Linked DNA regions of Rhinolophus ferrumequinum. The protein of the gene in region 1 interacts with the protein of each later gene in a biochemical or structural test. Links are inferred from orthologs where the notes say so. Each region holds a gene or a part of one and is shown on either strand. Other genes may lie near its edges.

Region 1 (7,999 bases):
GGTGCCAAATCCAGTGAATAAGGTGGATAAGGACATACCTTAATGTCTTTATTTGACAGAAATTGCCATATACCAGAAGTGACATGTGACAGGAAGCACTGTCATGATGGAGGATGATTTACAGCACCTTCTCATAACTGTAGTTCACACCTGATTGACTGCACTGAACAAATTGAAACTTGTCACACACTGTTACTAAGGTTTGACTCGCCACTCCCCATATTGAAGATCCCTGGTTTTCCACTGGGTAGCACTCAGCAGCAGCATTCACCTTATTTTGTGATCATAACGGAGAGGCTCCGTGTCATACATCACTTCTGGTACGGCAATTTCTGTCAAATAAAAACATTATGGTATGTCCTCATCCACCTTATTCACCAGATCTGGCACCATGCGACTTCTGGCTTTTCCCCAAAGTCAAAATGACCATGAAAGGTAAACATTTTTAATCAAATCAGGACATCGAGGCAGCCATGACAGCTCAACTAAAGACACTCATGAAAGAGACTTCCAGAACCGCTTCAGAAAGTAGCAAGAAAGATGGGATAAGTGTGTTTGAAGTGAAGGGAAGTATTTTGAGGGGGATTAATGGCAATATGTATTTTACCAAAATAAATTTTTTTTGCAATTTAAACTCTCACCATATTTTTTTATCACATTGTTTAGCAGCAGAAATGAAGACAGAAAGGCAAAGTTGAGACTAAAGTAGATTATAAATTTGAAAGTATAGCGTGAATTGATTTAGGGGAACAACAAAAAAAAGAAAAATATCAAACATTTTAGAAATTAATTCTATTGTGTCATAAAGGTGTAGCCTTTAACATCAGTACGTCGTCACTTAACATCATCGATAGGTTCTGCAACTTGAAGCAAGACAACATAAAATGAAATCAATTTTACCACCAGTTAATTGGTATAAAGAAGAGTTAAGTTCCTACAGCATCTCATCAATGTTATAACAAAATGACATTAATTATTTGAGGGCCTGTTATATAAGATTTATCTGACGTCACCTCCAACAAAACTGGGCTAAGGATTCCCATAGCACTCTATGCATGCTTCCATTTAGCAAGTTGGGGGAAAGTCTGTGTTTCTCATTCCAGCTAGCCTGGAGCCACTTGAGGGCAAGAACCATGATGCATCCATCTTTATAACTCCAGTCTCTAGTATAATGCAAGGCATTTGGTAGGCCAAAGAAAAAATTAGAACTGAACCAATGGTAACTTATTATATAGAAAAAGGAAGAATTGAATTTGCATTTGCAATCATAAGGGTCACTGGGGTGGTAGCTAATACATATAGATGTATGTGAAGAACAGTCTTCCAGAAAGGAGTAGTAATATTTCTATCTCAGTATGTTTGCAGCTATAATGTAACCTCTTTAAGGGCAGAGTTCAAAGTTATTTTGAATGTACTGCAGCATCTAGGACAGTAATGAACATGCAGGGGATGCTTACTTAGAATTTTTTTTAAAGAATAGACAGTAATAATTTAGTCTGTTTCCCTACTCTTATTTATCATACACAATTTAATTATTAAGATAGAGTCCAATGTTCTCAAAATCATTTGAGATTTTCCCCACTTATGAATATTCTTTCTGTACAGAGAAAAACACTTCAAGATGTGATGTTGTTGAACTCTTATCCCAGAACTGACTAGACAGAAATAAAATTAAGGTTTTCCTTAAATCTGGTTTAAAAGAAAGGAAGAAGAGTTAGGCTATAGATCATTCTAGTCAATTAAATAACGTCTTTCTGAAAACATAAAACTAAAAATATAATTTGATCATAAAGATGTGTCTTTTCCTCAGTGATTAATTGCTTTAATTTTAATGGTAGCTCTAGTCATCATAATTTCTCTTCACTCTTTCAATCAACTTTGCAGACTCTCCTAAGATTGACTAATTCACTAACAAGTCATATTTTGTATGACAAACTATAACCTATTCATTTAATAGGTCAGCAAACATTTTCTGTAAACGGCCAGATAAGTAATTATTTTAGGCTTTACAGGCCACATGATTTCTGTCATAATTACTCAGTCTGCTGTTGTAGAGGGAAAGCAGCCATAGACAACACATAAGCAAATAAGAATGGTTGTGTTAAAAAAAAAAAAAGGCAGTGGGCCAGATTTAGCCAATGGCTATAACTTGCCAACCACTATTTTAGTCCATTATTCTTCTTTTACTATAAAAATGGTCAAATATACAGAGAGACTGAGAGACACAGAGAGACAGACAGAGAGAGAGAGAGAGAGAGAGAGAGAGACAGAGAGGTATACTACCATTTAGATTTGATAATTGTTCATATTTTGCTATATTTACATCTATTTTATTGCTGAATTAGAATAAAGAAAACTTTTGTGTCATGAGGTTTTGCCCCTATGTAATTTAACATGTATCTTTAAAAATAAAGACCTATTACTACATAATGTACTAAAATTGATAATAACTCCCTAACAGCCAATATTTAAATTTCTCTAAGTATCCCCAAAATTATTTCTATAGCTATTTAGTTCAAATCAGGGATCCAATTAAGGATAAGACACTGCATTTGATTGTTATATATTAAAAGAAAAGCCTCTTTTACTCTAAAACAGCAGCCTCCATCCTCCAGATGTGACTCGTTGAGGAATAATCTGATTTTAAATAATGTAAACAAGATCTGGACTCAATACATACCACAGGAACATTAATATAGTGGCAAATACAAAAAAAAATTGTTTATATTATTCTCCATATATTTACCTCAATTTCTCTACTTTTGGGATTTATTTTTACATTTCACTTATTTTTTAAACAATTTGTAGAGCTTATTAGGGTAATTTAGACACACTCATGAAACCAGAGGTTTACATGTAACATAAAAGCATATTCCAAAGGGTTTCTATGAAATGTATGAGTCTATGCTATGGGTGCTATGCAAGTGAAGGAGAATAGAATAGTCAGTTACTTTAATTAGACTTAATCCAGATCAGTAAAATCCATCACCTTTCATGAAAGATGCTGATTGTTTTTTTCTTTCAAGAGGATATTACAGTATCCCCAGCTGTGAACAGATACAGAAACGTAGACACGTGGGATGATATTCTAGAGTTTGCAGAGCCTTATGAAGGACAGGAACATCCTTTTCCCAGAAAAATCTTGATCCCTGTGAGAAAATCTATTAGTTTACCAGGGAAATTCCAACCAGAAAAATCACCCCAAATTTCATAAAATTTCCATGAAATGAGAACTGTTGGTATGCACGTGGAGTTACATTTTTAATAAACAATGCTCAGAGTAGAAACAGGGCATGAGACCAGCCTGAAGGAGCAAACTTGTGTAGCACAGGTATGTGACAGTGTAGTGTGAACTTACAGATAAGGTGGCTGGGAAATGTGAATATGGAAATTCACAATATGGAGGGGTTTGTGTTGCCTATCTTTTAAAGTATCCTAACTCACTAGCATTGGGAAATAGGATCAGTAAAGAGTCAGGAAAAAGGATTGGACCAACAGAGATAATAGGAGTACATAAAGAAAAGGGAACCAAAAGGTGCTGATTGGAAACTGGAGCAAAGCTAGAATTCCCTCAATTGAGAAAAGGAATTGAATTTATAAAGAATAGAAAAAGTTAAAGCACAGAATGAGATAGAAGAGAAAAGCACTGTGCAATACCACTGGCCGCATGTGGTTATTTAAATTTAAATTAATTAAAATCAAAAAAAGTTAAAAATTCAGTTCTCTAATCATGGCAGCCACATTTCAAATGCTCAATAGCCACATACGGTTAGTGGCTATAATATTGGATAGCACGGATAGAGAACATTTCCACATTCCACAACGCTGCACTGAGAACATTAAAATGAGTAGGCAAGAGAAAACAGCAGGGAAAGAGGTAAAGGAGGAGGAGAGGTGATTCATCAACTCCCTTTCCCACTTGTGTTTAACGTCACTAGTTCTCATGTGATGGTCAAGATAGCCACTGCTCTACAACCTTGGGGTTCAGCCACACCTCCGCTCAGAAAGGTGCTAGAGAGGTGGCTGCCTTATACATGCTCTAGTCGGTTGGGATTGTTGGAGCAGGACGTTGAATTGGGGTGGAGCCAAGGTTGGGCTTGGGGGAGAGTCATTAAATGGGTGACGAGGGCCTGTGCACACCCTAGTGCCATGCCCAGAATTCAAAGTGGATAAAGCACTCACTTGCCACTGGAAAGATGCAAGAGTAGATTTTTTCCTTCTCTGGTGTCCAGTGAGTCTTCAGTCATTCATGGTCATACAATCTTACTACGAATATATTATTCAGATTAAGTCATAGGTCAACACTCTCTATTTTACTCAACCAATGAGAAATTTGGCCTGACCATCTTATTTCATTTTATTTATTCATATCAGCCGGTTCCTACTATACACATTCATATTCACTGCAAGTAAATATAGGAAGCCTACCTCCTTACCTCCACGATGAATAGTATGGAATTTTAAACCGCTGTTGAGTAGCCAGCCCTCTTTGCCACACACCCACAGTGAAATGAAAGCATTCCGTAGAAGCTCTGCCCTCAGAGATATCCTTCCTTTTTGGGATATTTTTGGCAACTTTTTGGCCATAATCAACTTCTTATCCAATAGGTCTTTTGTTTCAAAATGCCATTTCAAACTCCATAGTCTTCCTGCCACTCATTATATTTACTCTAGACATTGCGAGGTGAAGACAGCATATCCCAAGAACACTAGCAAATGATGCCTTGTAAGAGTCACTAATTATTTTCACAAACCTCAGGGCTGCTCAGTTTCCCATTTGCATGTGTGGGCAGCAGTTTCTTCAATGTATTCCCCATGTTCTAATTGGCTCACTATACAGATTCTTGGCTCTGTGCTTGGGAATCATCGCTGACTTTTAACCCACCTCACCTGAAGAGTAGCTTTCTGTGTTCCATTAGTATTTCAGGCACTGATTCTCATTTTTATAAATTAGCAACAGGATTTTAATTGGAGATTTGGATTGTTTCCTTTTAATCGGACTTAGCGACATTAAAAAAAAATTACTGCACTTGAAAAGGGCAGAACTTTAAAGAGAGAAAATTAGTTGGGGAAGAGAAGATATTCATTTAGAGAAAACAATAGAGACTTCCTCAGACTTAGACTGGTCACTTAAAGGGAACTGTGACATGCAGAGGACCTTATAATTGTAAGTATCATAGTTTTGCTTGTTTGAATTAATACTTTTTTAAAAATCCTCATTCTTAACATTGGCAAATTTTCTGTCTCTCAAAGGACACTTTGAAAATGACAATTTCCTAACATCCACTGAAATGGAAAGTTTATAATTTTCTACTGTGACCTGAGTGTCTGGCTATGAGCATAGGCCGGATAATCCTCTGAATAATATGAGCATCCAGACTACACTTGCCTTTTTAATATGCAAAGAAGTTAAACAACCTGTGAATAAAGCACAGGGTGAAAAGCCCTTATCAATTGTATAATTCTCCATACTTCTGATCTTTTTAAACACCTGCCACTAAAAACCTTCAGAAAAGGAGTAAATCTTCCATGCCCTACAGAGAGTTACCTTTCAGCTGGAAGCAGGGTGTGTCCCTAAGCTTTTACCTGGGAGCAATGATGATCTTGTCAAGCATTTTAGTGAGACCAGCCCAAGTTTTTAGGGTGGGGATCTAGACTGGTTATACGTACCTTCGGTCCTTCTCCCAGAGAAGGCAGAAACACCTCAAAGCCTGCATGTAAGAACATCTACTGAGAAATTATTTTAATCAGACACCAGCTGAGTGGGGGAAAGAAAAAGAACAGAGAAGAACAAACAACACTCCCTTGGTCCTGGATGTAAGAGAACCCAGCAGCGATGAAGTGGCACTTCTTTATAACAGCTGCAGTGCTGTTCATTTTTCTGGTAAGTGGATTCTGTTGAAAATCCTCCACGATCATTCTCGTTGTAAAGTGAGAACATTTTAGAAAATGTCATTTCTTGTTATTTCTAATCTAAACCCATTAAAAGTTTATGTTAATGACGAGGTAATTTTTATGAACTACATGTTTAAATAGTGTTTCTCTCTTTAATTGAAGACTCAAGATCATATTAAGGCATAAGTGTCAACTCATCATATCACATCTGTGAAATCGAAGTCATTGTTAAGTCATGCTGGGAAAAGATTGAATATGAAAAAGTCATATCACTATTTAATAGCACTTTGCTGTTCAGATTCCCTTTTGCAGGTGGGCTTTTAAAGTAATATTACAGGTGTGTCCTGATTTTTTTAACCTAAATATTTTTTTTCATTCTTTTGGTATCTTTGCTGGTAGGTTCACTGTAGTTTTTAAAATATACAAATAGGATCCCTAAAATTAAAATCACAGCAGTTTGTGATTGGCCTCACTATCCAAATAATCTCATTGTTTTCTTATGTGGTTGGGATCCACTAATACGGAAAGCCCCGCACTGCTAAACTATGATTTTATTTAAAATGATATTTTTTTATTTAAAAAAATGGCAGTATGGGAGATTTATAAATAACATAGTAGGTGAAGGAATGGCTATAATTAAAAAGTAAGTATAATTATTACAATACTCGTCCTTACTAATGGAAAATCAGTGATGACTGATATGCAAGTTGTACGTTGATGTCAGACAAATGTAATGAAATGTTTTATCATTGTCCCCCTTACACGTTATTAGTTCTCTTTTTAGAGATAAAACTAAGTGCAGCGCCAATGTGTTGCATCAATTTCACTTATGTCAAAAATATTAAAATTGTAGTCTCACAGTAAGGTTAATATAATCCAAAGAGACAAATGCCAGTTAAATCACGATCCAATTTGGCAGGATATAGTGCTGTGGTTCATATTTGTTTCTACTTGCTTAATTTTGGAACTGGATTGTTGGGTTTCTATAATAACAACTTAGATCTTTGATATGTGGTATGTTGGTTAGTTTGAATTCAGTTTATTAATTAAGAGAGGTCATTACCAGTGGATTTACTTATAAATGAGCATCATATAAGCTGGTAGCTTTAGTTCCAAGCTACCCTTTAAACATGAGCCCTATTCCATGGACTTTTTAATGGGTCTTTAGGATCAATTGATATTATAACTTGCGATGTGGCAGGGATTAATAAGCATTATACAGTATGTCATCTGAACATAAGAGTATTTGTCTGTCATGAAATAAACAAACACTTTTATTTTTAATTTCATATAAAGTTGATGCATTAAAGCTTATTTTAGTTACAATTGATTAAAGTTCATTCTGATGCTTACGTATTTTCACTGAATCTATAGGATACCTTATTTCATTATTTTTATGATTATTTTTAATTAATTACATCCTATACAATCCCTTTAATCAGCCACTTTCTAATTAGTCATTCTTTAGTAAAATGTATCTTTTTATCAAAATCATGTATGCTTATTGCACTTTCTCTCTCTTTGTAGAGAGGTTTCTGGGCATTTGTATTTTATTTTCTGTTTTTGGATAGGTTTTGTTTTGTGTGGATTGTTTGTTTGTTGCCATATTTTACTTTCGAATCAATAACAAGTTTCTCATATGCCTTATGAAAATTATGTCTCAAAGAATTTGTTCTATGATTAAAATGTTTCATTTTTACATTATCATAACTTTTTTTATAAAACATTTCACTTTTTAAGGTTTGGAAAATCATAATTTATTTTTACTCCTGATTTTACCAGATGATTTGGATAAATGTCCTTTGGAGTTATGCAGTCTATTTGTGCTTTAAAATACTATTTTTTTCTGAAAATTAACCACCACGATAGCAAATTATTCCACTTACCTTTCTGCTATCCTCACTGTGAATGTTTACTTTCACCAAACAAACAAACAAACCCATGTAAAGTCTTTAGATTCTCTGCCCAAAGTCGATATAAGTGAAAATGTATAGTAGGGAGCATATTTGGACAATTCTTAAAGGTCAAAAAGACCTTTAAGATACTTAAACTGGTAGTATCTTTAAGGTAAATCCATTTGGGAGCTGGGTGGCCATCTATTTGT
Region 2 (7,950 bases), on another chromosome or scaffold:
CCAGAGAGTTCTGGCGTGTTGGAGGCCTAGGTGCAGGCCCTGGCTTTGCCCCTCAGCTGGCCCACCCCTGGACTCACCCAGGCCCTGCTCTCCAGGCTGAACCGGAACCTTTGCTCTCTCTCGGCCCACAGCCAGGCCTCCCTCATCTCCTACCAGAGCACAGCAGGCGGGCATGGAAGGACACAGCCCGCCTCTAGCCCCAGGCCTTGTGGAGAGGGGACCCGGGGTCACAGGCGCTGACCTTCCAATCGGGGTATCTGCCAAGGGCTTGGGGAGTGGCGGCTGCTGTTCCCATCCCCCCATTTCCCATCTCTCACCCATGGCTGGGAGCCGCTCTGGGTGCCCTCTGTACTCTCCAGGCACAGAGGCCTGCACAGGCCCCCACACCTGGGGACAAAAGGTCACAACAGGTGCCAGGCTAAGAGTCTGGTCCATTCCTACCCTGGTACCCTGAGGGCGGTGGCGAGGGTCAGGGTCCTGAAGTCACCACGGGGGCAGAATCACGTTCACTCAGACCCTCGGGAAGATGGCTTCCTGATTGGTCCCCTGAGACAACCGGGACTGGACCGAGAGTGAACTAATTTGACTTCCTGATACCAGTTCCCACCCTCTCAGGAAAATGGGCTGGGGGGTTCGAACGTGCCTGAGGGGTCCCTGCCAGAAGGAGACAGGTCGAAGGTCACCAGAGGAACTGGCCTTTAGAAAGGCGGAGGCTTGACCAGGAGGCACTGAGCCCGACTTGTCCAAGCGACCTGCTGAGGGCTGGACGGGGCCTTGACGGATCAAGAGGGTGGACTCCCCTCAAAAAAATAAACATTGATCGAGCACCGTATGTGTGCCAGAGATGTGGACAGAGCAGAGAGGCGTGGACGCACACTTCCCTTCGCTCAGGCTGCTCCAGGTCGTACTGGTGACATGGGACCGGCAAGTGCCAGTTATAAAGGGCCCAGGAGATGGCAGTTTGGGAGTTCCTCAGCAAGGAAAACTAGGATAGACAAGTTGACAGAAGCAGGAAGGAAGGGGGTGGAGTGTCCTGTCACCCCATGTTTGAGGCCTCTCAATGGCCTCTCATCCATCTTCAAATCAAACCCGAGGGAGGCCTCCAAGGTCCAGTGCGATCCTGTGCTATCCAGTGGGGGACCCTGGCGACGTGTGACTCTCGGGAATTTGAAATGTGGCTGGTGTGCCTGAGGAACGGCACTTTTCGTTTCATTTCCTTTTAACTGATTTAAATAGCTACACAGATAGAGGACGCTGCCACCCTCACAGAAAGTCGTACAGTACGGCGCATGCTGCCTGCCTCTGCGCCCGTCTCGTGCCCACACCCCTCCCACGGAGGCCACACGGGTCTGTATGTGGGTCTGAGGACATGCCAGGCTCACGGCCAGGACACCCACGGTTCCCTGTGCTGGAGTGCCTCCCCCACATAGGGCAGCTGCCTCTCACCCTTCTGGTCTCAGCCTGCATGCCCTGCTCTGACCACCACAGGGAACATCACCCTTCAGCCCTGAACACAATTCTCAGTCCTCTTAGTAGCCCCTTTACAAGTTTGCTCTTCTCCTGCCCTCTTAGAATGGAAGTCCCATGAGGGCAGGACCTGGTCTCTTTTCCTGGCTACACCCCCAGGAGCTGACCTGGCACTCGGTACACACTTAAGTGACTGCGAGTGACTCATGCAGACGGAATGGCATATGTGCAAAACCAGAGAGGCTGCGGGCTGGGAGGAAACATGGGAGGGGGGATCTTTAGAGATTGGGGAGGGGCCAGTGTGGCTCCTCAGGGAAGGTTTTAAGGTCCCTGAGTTGGGCAGCCGTTGGGAAGCCTGCTAGCTGACCAAAAGAACTCCGCTAGAAACGGCTGCACAGCAGGGAGCTGGCCCCATGGCCACTGTCCAGGAAATCCAAAGGTGCCTGCAACAGGGGCCAGTGGCAGACGACTGGGCTGGATAAGGTGGGGCTATGCTGGCAAGATTAGAGGTCCATAAAGCAAGATGACCTCGTTCAGCTTCCTGGGGGTTCTGCATCAGTTTGGGGTTCAGGTACAGGTGGTCCCCTCCCCTAGGAGGGCTGGAAATTGAGCAAAGTGAAGCTTCTGTCCGGTCGTGCTTAGAAGCAGCAGGAGCCCCTCTCAGCCTTCACGTGGGCCAGCCATCCTCCCTGGGCAGCGTCCCCTCTTCCCCCATCTCGAGGAGAAACACTTGATAAGGGCAGAAACTTCGTCCTCTCCCCATTGTGTCCCAGTGCCTAGGGCAGGGCCTGCCACACAGGACATGCTTGATCCATCCTTGTTGGGTAAATGGATCCAGGCTGTGCTCCCCAGCGAGCCGTGGGGTCACGGGTTGCCTTACTTTTGTGAGCACTGAGAGCCTCGAGAGTGGAGAGTGACACTGGGTCCCACTTCATGCTGTAGGGCAGGCGGCAAAGAGAACTAGGACCCATTCGTCCTCATCAAAATTAGAGTGTCAGGGCTCGAGTAGGAGCCATGAGATCTCCTCACTCACAGATTTGGTGCAGGAGACAGAGGAAGGGAGTTCTAGCATCGTGAAGCTTATTAGTGACACACCTGGATTCGGAACCCAGGTGGCCTGATTTTCATGCCATGTGATGGACACAGGTGCTGTTAGAAGACTGATTCAGGGAAGGCTTTGGGACCCACTGCCTGTTACTGGGAAACTGCAAGGAAGCAGCCTGGCACTGCCACTGGGTGCCCAGGCCCTGGATTCAGGCTGCCTGTGCTCGGCCCGGTTTCTGCCCCTTTCCAGCTCTGTGACCTCACGTAGCCTGTTTCCTCATCTGAAAAGGAAAGATGACGGCGCTGGTCCCCACCCCACAGGGTCACTGTCAGGATTCCAAGGGGAGGATCCGTACACAGGACCGAGCACCATGCCTGGTTCACAGGGGCACGGCCGCATCGGCTGTGGCCATCAACACATCAAATTACATCCATATCAGAGCAGGGGAGAAGCATCATCTAGAAAAACTGAGATTCATACCTGGCAACAGATTTGAGGATACTCAGGGTCCGTGTCCAGGTGTCCGTGTGACCTTTTATAGCAGTGCGGGCCGCTCCGATCACTTCCTTCAGGGCCACTCTACATCCTAAAGGAAGCAAAGTTATCATTCTTTAAAGACCTAATGAACATTTATTGTTAGCTCGCGTATTAGGTTTGGGATGGGCCTGATGTGTGACACAATGGCGGTGTATTTTTATGTGCTGTCATGTGCACTTTATAGTCCAGTGGGGCCCCTATGTAACCCGCATGAAGGCACTTTAATGCACATTTTATGGCACTTTTAAAGGGGAGGCTGGAGAGTTGCAGGGAAGAACAGTGGCCCAGGCGTCATAGGCCTGATTAGAATGGAGGCTTCGACATGGGTTAACTGGAGACCTCGGGCAAGCGACCTCCCTTCCCCGTCAGAAAGCTGCAGAGCTGGGCTGTGAGGTGCCCAGGGCTCCACCAGCCCTCACGGTCTACGGCTGGAAGCAGAATCTTACAATTTTAAGGGATGAGAGAGGGTTACAGGTGTTGACTTTTTGTATCTATGACATATTGTTGGTCATAGCTCTGGTTTATTTGACGCCAGACAGCGTAGGAACACAACCCTCAATTATAAAACAATTTCTATTGGAAACTACACTCAGCTTTACAATATTCTGTCTGGCACGTGGCTACCAGGAATGCCTTCTGGGGAAAAGCTGGGGCTCCCTGCATATGACACCCACTTCTCACAAGTGAGAGCGTCACCTTCATGTGACCCTGAGACTGTCACTCAGGCTTCTCCATCCTTCCTCGACATAAAAGGCGCAACAAGCTTAGACTCTGACGGCCCCTTTCTCTGCAGATTAGGGCAAACTCAAAGGGAAGTGTGTGAGCTGTGAGCAGTGACTACAAATGACAGCAGAAGTGATAGCTGTGCCAGCGCAATGCAGCCAGGGGAGCCCCCAAAACTCAAAGCTGAGCAGACGTCCACACTGAGGACCCAGCGTCATCACGAAGCTCCTGAAATGTGTTCAGGATCTTTTGTTAAAGAGGCAGGGTGTGCTGCTTCTACAAAGATTTCCATCAACGTCATTTAAAAAATAACTCAGCTCCTCTCACACCAAATAGCCTGGTGTGGGCCACCACCGTGCCTGAGGACAACGCTATGTGAATGACACATCACCACGCAAGTGTCCCCAGGGGCGTGTGTGGGAGAGAATGCACACACGAGGCCATCAGGGGGTAGTTTTATGGGCGAGGCAGGCTGAGTTTTTTGGTAAGGATCTGGGTAGAATTCACGTTAGACTTAATTTATCTTAAATTAGCCTTCATTCATTCATCTATTCAAAAATATTTGTCATCGAGCCCCTACGATGTGCCAGGCAGTGTTTTAGGGGCCAAGCCTGCAGTCTCAGGAGGGTCCACTCTTCACGCATGGCAGGTCACTGCTCTGTGCGTTTTGCATCTCAAGGCTGGTCCAGGTCTGGCTTGTTGCTCCCATGCCACTCCCTGCAGGCTGGAAGCCGCCTTGCAGGAGAACAGATTGTCCCCACAAGAAGGAGCACTCCCTTTGGACGAGGACTGTGCTTCTGTCACCAGCCTGGGAGCCACCACCTGTGGGTGGTCTTGGCCATGGTCTCAGGACAGAGGGAGGTGGGCATCTGGCTGTCCTGGGGACCAAGTCAGAAAGACTCCTCCTTCCTAGAAGGACGTGTCCCTGGGTTCCTGAGCTGAGCACATACTTTCTCCATGAGCTGCAGGGAACAGGACAGAGGGGCGTGTCAGGTGCCTCACCTCCTGCGTAGGGGGGCGGGAAGGAGAGAAAGGCAGAGACAGCAGTCCCACACTCAGGACGCAGCCCTGCCCCCAGGAGCTCCTGCTGGGCTGCTGCAGCGTACAACCAGGTGGAGTGGGTGGTGCAGGCAGGGGCCGTATATCCAGTCTGACGGAGGGCGGGCCCCGCCAGTGCCAGGAGAGGGACGAGCCAGGGCGGAAGCGCCAGGAGCAGCCCGGAACCCTCGCCAACACTCACTCTATGGCCACAGGGAGCCCCTGAGCGAGAAGAGCCCTCCGCTGTCCTCTGCACCTCGCCACCTCCGCCGTCCAGACCCCAACCCTGTCTGCCACCATGAACCACTCGCCACTCAAGACCGCCCTGGCCTATGAATGCTTCCAGGAGCAGGACAACTCGACGCTGGCCCTGCCGTCAGACCAGAAGATGAAGACGGGCACGTCGGGGAGGCAGCGCGTGCAGGAGCAGGTGATGATGACGGTGAAGCGGCAGAAGCCCAAGTCGTCTCAGTCGTCCACCCTGAGCCACTCCAACCGAGGTAAAGTCACCTGACGCGCACAGGACGTGCGCGCCCCTGAGGGGTTGGGGTGGGAGCTGCGGAGCGCGCACCTCCCGGCTGCAGCAGAGCGAAGGACTGCCGGCCGAGGCAGGGTCTGCGCAGGTGCGAACCCAGAGCCCCTGGCCCTGTCCCAAGCGGACAGTACCATTGCCTGGACCCGGGGACCAGTTCCAGGAGTCAGTGCGCACCGGGGAGCACCAGCGCGCCTCCTCCGACACGGCCAGGAGCTCTCTCCAGCGCACTGTTCTCGTGTGGGGCCCTGGGCCCCAGCGGCTTTCTCTTCCCGATCCTGCCCGGGAACCCCCTACCTCCTGTCCTCCAGGGGCGGCGACCCCAGGGTTCGCCCTCACCCCTCGGAGTGTTTCCCAGGAGTGGCTGTTCCTTCAGTGGGCAGTCTGCGCCCAGGACCACAAGCTCTTGGAGCCTCAGCAGCATGTTATTGGGAGCCTTACACCTGGAAGAGGCCATCCAGGGCTGGTGGGCTCCCTGGGGACCCTCTTTCCCCAGGAGCTAACGCAGAAGCTCCCTTTCCCATAGGACTGTCCTTATAGAGCTTATGGCGCTCGCTGAGGTGGGGCTAGTGTGTTGGGGGAGAGCGGGGACCGAGGCTGGCACATTGGGAATCCAGCCCCCCCCATGGGGCAGTGTCCAGTGTGGGTCCTCAGCCTGACCAGCCATCCACCCCCCGCACAAGGTGCCCCCACTGGGGCGGGTGCTGGGAGAAAGGGGTAGGATCCCTGAAACTCAAGGAGGGCGGCACAGTGTCTGACGGACGATTGTGGAGAATTTTTAGACCAAATGCTTCCACACAAAGGATTGGTAGTAATATCACACGGATTAGTGAACCTCCTGCTTATGTATTTACTTAGCTCAATTGAGTAAAATACTAATAAAGACCCTGCAGGCCGCAAACCATTACAGTCAACCAGGCCCCCCTGGGAGAGGGAAGGGATGGGGTGGTACAGGACAGGGAGAGGAGGGAACGGAGCCCTGCCCACCTCCCACCACACACACACCAGCTCACACTCCCTACCGCTGGCTTCTGTCCTCTTCTCTCCCCCGCCCCGGTAGCCCTGCTGAGGCCCTCCCAGCCCCCAGGCTTTGCCGTTCCGCGCGCCCTTTGCCCTGGCCTGGGCTCCTGGTTCCTCCTCTGCCAGACTCAAGACCATGCAGCCTCCAGGGCCCTTTCTCCTCTTCTATTTGGTGCCTTGGTAGGTGCTTACTAGCCTTTTTTGGACGGAGGCTTCGGACAACAAAGTGCCCCATTTCTGGCCACAGCCCAGTCACAGCCAAAGCCAGTGTACACTTTTCTCTGAACAAGACTCACCTGACCCACTCCCACTCCTGCTCTATCTCTGGCCTGAGCTCCAGGCTCACAGCTCCAGAAAAATCTCAAGCCATTGGTGCTCCAAACACATCTTCCCACCTAACTGGACAGCGGCCAAGTGCCTGCAGCCAGGTGAGGGCTGGCTCTGGTGGCTCTGCATGCCTCTCCAGACACGGGGTCTCTGTCCTGACAATAGAGGTGTGTCCCCTACTCAGCTCTGGTGAGGTTCCCAGAGGGGCCAGGTCCCCAGAGGCATCATCACTGGGAGAGGCGGTTGGGCAGCTGGAGCTGGTGCTTCTGGTTTGTCTGGCTCCGTTTCATCAGATTTCGCCTCCTCTTCACCAGAACCACCCGAGTGTTCCCTGCTGGCTCTGCGGCCACTCACTCCCTTCCCTCCTTCTCGAGTTGGTTGACATCCCATGTACCCACTAGGGTTCCTGGGACAGAGACGTGGTGGCTCTGGAAGGGCTACACCCCAGGCCCTTTTCTCATCCTGCTAGACAGACTCAAATCCTGCTTCGGTCTCCTCCACGAGAGGTGAGCAGGTCCCGTGGGGTCTGTTTCTCCCTGAGTCCCATCCAGGCCCCTTAGTGAAGGACTCCTGCCCCAGAGAAGGCCAGCCACGCCCCACAGGAGCTTGGCAGGGTGGCCCCCACTCCTGGACCCCGTGAAGGACAGCCAGGAACCGGCTCTCCCTCAGAGCCCTCTCCACCAAGCTCTCTTCTGTCTTGTCCGTCACGGGGAGCTGAGTGACGAGGGCTGAAGAATGAGCCCGTGGAAGGACCCTGGGGCCCAGGGCCCATCCCTGCCCAGGCAGGCCCTCCCTGAACACACCCTCCTGGCCGGGAAGCACCGGAGGGAACAGGGTGTCTGGGGTCTGGGGACCCTGCAGAGGGAGGCTGCCGTCAGCCTGCCTGCCCGCATGACCCTCTGCCTGAACTGGCCCCTCATTTGCTTCCTGTGTTTCCAGAGGGCTTTCGTGTGCACAGGTGTCCCCTCAGACTGTGTGGGCTGCAGGGGTGTGGCTGCTTAGATAGCTCTTCCTGCCCAGGCTGGGAAGTCCCTGCAGGGGTTGGTGACCAGGCAAAGGGCAGATGCACTGCTTTCCCACACTCAGGTTCTTCATAACTTCACAGGAATCCCTTCTTAAATCTTCACCCAAATCTCATTTGATCCAACCCCAAGCCCCCCACCCCCACCCCCACCGCTCCACTGAGATACACACCACCCACAAAGTTTGTCAGCTTTTTTTCCCTGTCCCTTCTCGTTCTGGGGAAATCCTGACTCCGGCT

What was found. The genes of interacting proteins can lie anywhere in the genome.
Region 2: the proteins of DSG1 (region 1) and PKP1 form a complex in vitro, tested with the Homo sapiens proteins (2 studies listed by BioGRID and IntAct). The link is inferred for Rhinolophus ferrumequinum from reciprocal best matches to the Homo sapiens genes DSG1 and PKP1.

What each region holds. Positions count from the first base shown.
Region 1 is NC_046302.1:26,214,312-26,222,310, forward strand, and holds the start of DSG1 (desmoglein-1), read left to right. Parts: upstream 1-4,901; 5' UTR 4,902-5,167; intron 5,168-5,253; exon of another isoform or gene 5,254-5,751; 5' UTR 5,752-5,836; coding exon 5,837-5,884; intron 5,885-7,999. UniProt on the Homo sapiens protein: Component of intercellular desmosome junctions. Involved in the interaction of plaque proteins and intermediate filaments mediating cell-cell adhesion.
Region 2 is NC_046310.1:1,013,598-1,021,547, reverse strand, and holds the start of PKP1 (plakophilin-1), read left to right. Parts: upstream 1-4,852; 5' UTR 4,853-5,108; coding exon 5,109-5,310; intron 5,311-7,950. UniProt on the Homo sapiens protein: A component of desmosome cell-cell junctions which are required for positive regulation of cellular adhesion.